2 linked regions of the Oryctolagus cuniculus genome follow. The protein of the gene in region 2 interacts with the protein of the main gene of each other region in a biochemical or structural test. Links are inferred from orthologs where the notes say so. Each region holds a gene or a part of one and is shown on either strand. Other genes may lie near its edges. The genes, in order: JUND and ATF3.

Region 1 (3,820 bases), on a different chromosome or scaffold from region 2:
GGGGGGCTGATGAGGCTGCTGGGAGGAGAGGCGCCCGCCCTCTCGCCCAAGCCCCTGGGGGCGAACCTCACCTGGCCTCCCCCAGCCCTCTCCTGCGCGGGCTGCACCGTGGTGACCCGAGAGAGCTCCCAGCGAGCCCCTGCTAGGTCGTCCTCGGTCCACTTTCAGGAGGGGGAGACTGAGGTTCACAGAGAGAACACAGGCCCCTGAGGGTGCCCGCCCTGGCCAAGGTCCACGCGCACAGGGCTGGGGCTGGCCCCACCCACCTACAGCTCGCCCAAAGTCCCCCCACGCCCCACACACACTCCGGGGCGCAGGGCCACTGGGCAGCACACACAACACGTGCAAAGGCCCAGGGGTGGCCAAAGTTCAGCGAGGGTGAGAGGAGGTCAGGGGCAGCCTCCCGGCCCGGCTAAGGAGTGAGCTCCCTCCCGGGGCCAGCGCGGCTCAGGGCGGGTGGGGAGCGTCCCTGGGGTCCTCTGTCCCCTCTCCCTCCCACGCCTACCCAGCCGGCTTAATGAAGCCCTCGCCACCACGGGGGCCCTGCAGGCAGGCAATAATTAGTAGCTGGGACTCCTGCTCATCCGCTTCGCCCTGGGAGCCGCTTCAGGCCCGGGCAGACCCAGGGTTAAACGCGTGGGCGGGGCCGGGGTGGGGGGCCCCCTCCTCGGCTCCCCCCAGGCCCTGATGGGGACGCCGCGCCCTCCCCCGGGCCGCCAGGTCCCCGGCGCACAGCAGCGGCGGGCGGCACCGTCGGAGCAGCGGGGCGGGCGGCGCCAGGGACTTATTTATCCGCGCCGGACCCCCACCCACTGCGGTCCCTGGAGGCCGGCGCCGCCCCCGCCCGGCCCGGGCCCACGCGCGTCCGCGGGGCGGGGCCTGGGGCCGGGGCCGGGGCCCTGGGGCGGGCCCATCACGCCACCCGGGAGGCGGCGCCGGGGCAGCGGCCGTCCGTCCAGCTCGCCTGCCCCCCGTCCCCGGACGGCCAGGCGGGCGGAGGCGGGGGGAGGGGAACCAGCCCGGGCGCGCGGCCCCGCCCCCATGACGTCAACCCACAAGGCTGCGCGCTGTTGTGCGCTGTACCGCGCGTCGCCGGGGCAACGGCGGCCGGGGCGCGGCCCCGCCCCTGCATGCAAATGAGGACGTCGCCCTGGCCCAATGGCGAGCAGGGGCGGTGAGCTCATCGCTCGGGGCCGAGGCTATAAGAGGGCGCCCGGGCGGCGCGGCGCGGGAGCCGCCGCCAGCGCAAGGCCGGGCGCAGCGGCCGCGGCCGGGGCCGAGCGCACGCGGGGGGCCGAGCGCGCGGGCCCCCCGGGAGGCCGCGGCCACTGCCCCTCCCCGGGGCGGCGGAGCATGGAAACGCCCTTCTACGGAGACGAGGCGCTGAGCGGCCTGGGCGGCGGCGGCGGCGGCTTCGCGGCCCCGGGCCGCCCGTTCCCCGGCGCGCCCCCGCCGGCCGGCGGCATGCTGAAGAAGGACGCGCTGACGCTGAGCCTGGGCGAGCAGGTGGCGGCGGCGCTGAAGCCCGCGCCCGCGGCCCCGCCGGCGCCCGGCGCGGCGCCCCCCGACGGGCTGCTGGCCTCGCCGGACCTGGGGCTGCTCAAGCTGGCCTCGCCGGAACTGGAGCGCCTGCTCATCCAGTCCAACGGGCTGGTGACCACCACGCCGACCAGCGCGCAGTTCCTCTACCCCAAGGTGGCGGCCAGCGAGGAGCAGGAGTTCGCCGAGGGCTTCGTCAAGGCCTTGGAGGACTTGCACAAGCGGAGCCAGCTGGGCGCGGGCGCGGCCGCCGCGGTGGCTGCCGCCGCCGCCGCCGCCGGGGGGCCCTCGGGGACTGCCGCGGCCGCCGCGCCCCCCGGCGAGCTGGCCCCGCCGCCCGCCGCGCCCGAGGCGCCCGTCTACGCGAACCTGAGCAGCTACGCGGGCGGCGGCGGCGGCGGCGGCGGCAGCGGCAGCGGGAGCGGCGGGGGCGCGGCGGGCGCGGGGGCCGCCTTCGCCGCCGAGCCGTTCCCGCCACCCCCGGGCGCGCTGGGGCCGCCGCGCCTGGCCGCGCTCAAGGACGAACCGCAGACGGTGCCGGACGTGCCGAGCTTCGGCGAGAGCCCGCCGCTGTCGCCCATCGACATGGACACGCAGGAGCGCATCAAGGCCGAGCGCAAGCGGCTGCGCAACCGCATCGCCGCCTCCAAGTGCCGCAAGCGCAAGCTGGAGCGCATCTCGCGCCTGGAGGAGAAGGTGAAGACGCTCAAGAGCCAGAACACGGAGCTGGCGTCCACGGCCAGCCTGCTGCGCGAGCAGGTGGCGCAGCTCAAGCAGAAGGTGTTGAGCCACGTCAACAGCGGCTGCCAGCTGCTGCCCCAGCACCAGGTGCCCGCGTACTGAGCCGGCGGCGGGCGCATGCGCGGCCCCCGCGCGCGCGGGGCGGAGCGGCGGGGGCGCGCGGAGGCCCGGGGGGCGCCCCGGAGTCGGTACCACGGCGCGGTCCCCGGAGGGAGCGCCCCTGACTCGGAGACCACGGTGGGGCGTCCCGGACTCGGAGACCACGGAGGGGGGGGCGCCCCGGACTCGGAGACCACGGAGGGGGGGGCGCCCCGGACTCGGAGACCACGGCGCGGCCCCCCTCCCGCCTCTCCCAGCGGAGCCCCCCTCCCGCCCCGCCCCCCCCCGGACTCGACAAGCTGGACCCCCTGCTCCCGGGGGCCGAGCGCAAGACCCCCGCTGCCCGCGCTGCCTCGGGCCGCCCCCCTGCCCCCCGCCGCTCTGTGCGCGGCGCCGCGGGCGAGGGGCGCATGCGGCTCCTTTTACTTTTATTTTTTTGGTTTTTTGTTTTGCCTTTGGAAGCGAGGAGATCGGAGTGTGCGGTTCCGCCCTATTTATGTTTCTACTCGGGAACAAGCGTCGGTTGCGTGCGTGCGTTTTCCTTGTTGGTTTTTTTTTTAAAGAAATGGGAAGAAGAAAAAAAAAAAGACCCCGCCCCCTCCCCTCCCCTCCCCTCGCCTTCCCCCCCGCCGCCCTTTTTTTTTTCCTGGTTTTGTTGTGTGTTGTTCCGCTCCGAGCCCACATTCCTGTCGCTCTCCCTGGGTCCGCCCCGTGTTCTGTTTGCAGTAAAAGTCTCCGTTCGCCAGCTCGGCTCCGCGCCTCCTCCTTGCCCCCCGCCCCCGCCGCGGGGCGGGGCCTGGCCGCCGCCCCGCCCCCCGCCGCGGAGGGGGCAGTGGGCGGGCCGCCGGCAGGGCTCGGGGTTGGGGTGGCTGGCGGGAGGCGGTGTAGACGGGGGCAGCCCCGGGCCGAGGCCGGGAAGCTGCACAGGCCAATTTTATTTGATTTTTTGGTAACTTTGCGCCGTGGGCCTCTGCTTCCCTCTCTGTGCAATGGGGGGACCACCCTGGTCTGGCCTGGCCTGGCCTGGGAAGCCCCGGGGTTAGGAGCCGGTGCCCAGAGGGTAGGGAGTCTGATGGCTGGGCTTGGGGGTTCCGCGGGGCAAGGGAAGACAAACGGGGGTGCGGGGAGGCGGCGGGGTGGGGGGCCTGCCTCCGGGCCTGGAGGCGTGGCCACGCGGCCGGCTGGAGGGCCCACGGAGCCTCCCCGGCCTTCGCGGGTGGGGCCCCGGGCTTGTGACTCACTCGGGGACCGGGAGACGCCCCCGGTCTTGGTGTGACGGCCCCACCCCGCCCGGCCAGCAGGTGCAGCAGGGAGGCCCCCCCCCAGCTGCCCCCGGCCCTCGACCGCGGGAAGCATGGGGTCTCCCCCAACCCCGTGCGCCCCCGGGTGTCGCCAGAGACCGTGGGGGACAGGGCTCCGGTTGTGGGGAGACGGCTTCCGG
Region 2 (3,803 bases):
ACTGGGGTGGGGGGAGGGGGTAAGCTGTGAGTCCATGAATTCACGGAAGCCACCGAAGAACTGTGGAACCCCATAAACGCAGACTCAGGTTAGGGCACCCAGTGAACATACAGAGCGGCGTCCACAGAAGCGTGCGAGGGGAGGGCGAGGAAGACCCCAGAGACGTCCGCTATGCTTCGTCGGCTTGTTTGTGTTACCGCGGTGCCTGCAGCTCCTCCCACCAATCCTGATCCTTCTCATCACTCTTACTTAGGCTCGCATCTCCAGGTCACGCAGGCGGTGGAGGCGGTATGGGCTGCGTACAGGGAGTCCCAGGCGGGCACTGCCTGCCCGCTCTCCTCCCGAAACTTGAAGAGCGATAAGAATCTCGCTGGAGAAGTCGGGCCACCCCCCTCCCCGCCCCGACTTGAATGAAACTTAGTATCCAAGGACAACAAAAACTACTTCTACCTGCTCTCCTCCCCTCTTTTCCCCAGGAAAACTGTGAAATCAGCGCCCGCCGACCTGGAGGGAGACTGAAAGGGCAGGAGAAGGGAAGAGCACCCGCAGTCGGTGCCACGGCGGCAGCGGGGGGCGGGGAGGATGACCCGTATGTGAGCCTCGTGCGTCCTCGCTCCTGACTTGATGCCCACAGTGTGCAGGGTCACACCCTCATCACACGCACAGGCTGTGCCGTGCCGGTGGGAGGCAAGGGAAGCGCCCCGCTCCAAAACCCCTTGTCTCCACAAAGGCGAGCAACGTCTCTCCCGCCTCGGATAGGTCCTGGTTAGGGTTATGTTAGGGGTTAATCTTCAGCGAAGGAGACTTGATTACTGCAGAGGTTTTCCCTGGAGAGCCGCCTGGGGATTCCACAATTCAGATCAGCCTTGGTTTGTTTTTGCTGAGTGAGATAAGAACTGGAGACTTCATGCTGGGGCTTGTGCAAAAGGAAGGGAGAAAAAAATTAAAAGGAGACGGGAAGGAACGAAGCAGCTAAAAACAGCCCACTCGTGGCAACCAGAGCTAAACACAAAACATTGCAGGGAGCCAAAAGCAAGAAAAGGAAAGAAAAAGTTCAAGAGATATTTAAAGGTCTTAGCAGTTTCTTGGTTCAGCGCACGGTCCCTTCCCACATTCCTCTCCCTCATTCCTCTGTACTCCAGACTTCAAGACTGTGTTTGCTCACAGCGCTCCAGAAACACAAGTTAAACAGCAGGAAAAGTGGCAGTCCCGGCTGCCTGGCTCAGCACACTTCTTCACCTCCAAAGGGAGCGGGCTGGGTTTCTTTCTCCTCCATTGTATTTCTCAGTAGTCTTACTTTCCCCAAATTCAGTTTGAACCCGGGACTTTCTAAAGCAAGGGTCTGCAAAATGGGCAGCCTCTGGGCAGCCCAGTGAGCTCAGAAGGGTGAGAGGAGCTTTGGTTCTGGATGCAGTGTTGGGCAAGTAATTTCACTCTGCAGGCTGAAGTTCCCGCAACTGAAAAATGGCCTCCACGGTCGCACTCAGTGCAGAAGATTGCTGGCAAAGATCCCCTGAGGATGGGGCAGAGTTGGCCCTCTGTTGTGGCATCATTAGTTATAAAGCAGGGTGGGCTTCCTGGGGGTACTCTCTGAATCTCCCCCACAGCTCCCTGTCCCCTCCCATCAGGGGAAATAGCTGTGGGTGCAGTCAAGCCATGCCTAGGGTGACAGTCATGAGAGGGACAGGGAGAGGACCCCAGAGAGAAAACCGTGAGAGTAGTCCTCATTTTCCACCTGTAGCAGCTCCAGCACACCCCTGGGGCTTTCCCTGGTGCTGGGTGGTGGCCCTGCAAAGTACACTGGACTCTGAACAGAGTATGATGGTTTCGGTCTGGCACTGCCTATGGCATTCTGCAGGAAGACCCTCCCTTTCTGTGGCTCCCACCTTTTCTGAAGTGAGGGTCCCTGGGCTGAGCTCTGAGGGTCCTGAAGGCAGATCCTGTGCCACAGGCACCTTGTTGAGTCTCTGGTGACGTCCGTGCAGAGAGCTGGGGAGAAAGAAGGTGTCCAGGGGAGGTGTTAAATCACACAAAGCCAGACCCGGTCCCACAATTGCCTTTCCCCTCCAAAACCCAGAGTCAGAAATGTTGTCCGACCTGATTCTCAGCCAGACTGTGCCCTCCCCCTCAACATCTCCCAGGAGTTTTACACACAAGGACTTGGTGCCTTGCCACAGAGGAGGGATTACATCTTTGGGGACAGCTTGTGTGTAGCCCTCTGTCAACTACCATGGACACCCACCTTGGAGCACAGGGACCAGCCCCAAGTAGCAGCTGTCCCCACGTAAGAGAATGGATCCTGGGGCATCTGGAGGATTAGCAGGGCGCAGGAGCCTTGGGCCCACCCCCAGGTTTACCTCTTGCCAGCAGAGTGGCTTCATGTAAATCATCAACCTTTTGTCTCAGTTTTCCAGTCTGTAAAATGGGACTACTTAACATCGACTCCCCCCACAGTGTTAGTATAGGAATCAAATGAGATAGCACTGGGGGTCTTCAAAAAGCCCATAAAAAATGTGTGTTATGAAAAAACTGTGCATGTATTTCAAAATTTTTTTACAATGCAATAAGCTTATCTTTTAATTCTATTTCCCACAAACTTTTTTGGAAATACTTGTAAATACAAAAGTGATTTTAAATAATTTTTTTCTATTTTATTTTATTATTATTATTATTATTTTCAACAGGCGGAGTAGACAATGAGAGAGAGAGAGAGACAGAGAGAAAGGTCTTCCTTTGCCGTTGGTTCACCCTCCAATGGCCGCCAAGGCCAGCACGCTACGGCCGGCGCACCGTGCTGATCCGATGGCAGGAGCCAGGTGCTTCTCCTGGTCTCCCATGGGGTGCAGGGCCCAAGCACTTGGGCCATCGTCCACTGCACTCCCTGGCCACAGCAGAGAGCTGGCCTGGAAGAGGGGCAACCGGGACAGAATCCGGTGCCCCGACCGGGACTAGAACCCGGTGTGCCGGCGCCGCAAGGTGGAGGATTAGCCTAGTGAGCCACGGCTCCGGCTAAATAATTTTTAAAATCATACTTTTAAATACTCCTTTAGAGGAAATTTTCATTTTTTGTTTAAAAATAATGCACTTTTCCATGAACTTTTTAAAAAATAGAACAACAGAGAGAGAGAGAGAGAGAGATATTTTCCATCTACTGGCTCATCCTCCAGATATCTACAACAGCTGGAGCTAGGGTAAGCTGAAGCCAGGAGCCTGAAACTCCATCCAGGTTTTCCATGCGGGCAGCAAGGATCCAAGCTCCCAAACCGTCACCTCCTAGAGTGTGTACCAGCAGGAAGCTGGATCTGAAATGGAGCAGCCAGGACCTGAACCAGACACTCTGAGGTGGGATGCAGGCATCCCAAATGTTGGCCTGACTGCTGTGCCACAGTACCTTCCCCTAGAGGAAATTTTACTATAATTTTTTGCCAATGTCAAAATTTGGGGAACAGGCAAGAGGAAGCAATTACCCATATTTTCAACACTATTAGCATTTTGGTGTGCTTCATCCCAGTCTTTTTTTCTCGTGCATATGATTTTAAAATAGATTGTACATTACATGAAATTTTGGAATTTGTTCTTTTGCTTGGAATAGTCTGTGGTCTTTATTACTATAATTTTTCTTCTTAAAAATATGTCTTATTGTAAAATGTAGATTCATACAGATGATTACATAGAATATATATATGTGTGTGTGTGTGTATATATATATATATATATATGTTATAAGAATAGAAGACACGGCAAGAGCCCACCACCTAAGTTAAGAAATAGACCATCCCGTGCAGTGCTTAGCACCTCACCTA

The links.
Region 1: the proteins of ATF3 (region 2) and JUND form a complex in vitro, tested with the Homo sapiens proteins (2 studies listed by BioGRID and IntAct, with this or other methods). The link is inferred for Oryctolagus cuniculus from reciprocal best matches to the Homo sapiens genes ATF3 and JUND.

What each region holds. Positions count from the first base shown.
Region 1 is NC_091447.1:65,581,481-65,585,300, reverse strand, and holds JUND (transcription factor JunD), read left to right. Parts: upstream 1-1,218; 5' UTR 1,219-1,353; coding exon 1,354-2,382; 3' UTR 2,383-2,517; intron 2,518-2,580; 3' UTR 2,581-3,124; downstream 3,125-3,820. UniProt on the Homo sapiens protein: Transcription factor binding AP-1 sites.
Region 2 is NC_091444.1:27,071,303-27,075,105, reverse strand, and holds part of ATF3 (cyclic AMP-dependent transcription factor ATF-3), read right to left. Parts: intron 1,990-3,803; coding exon 1,887-1,989; intron 1-1,886.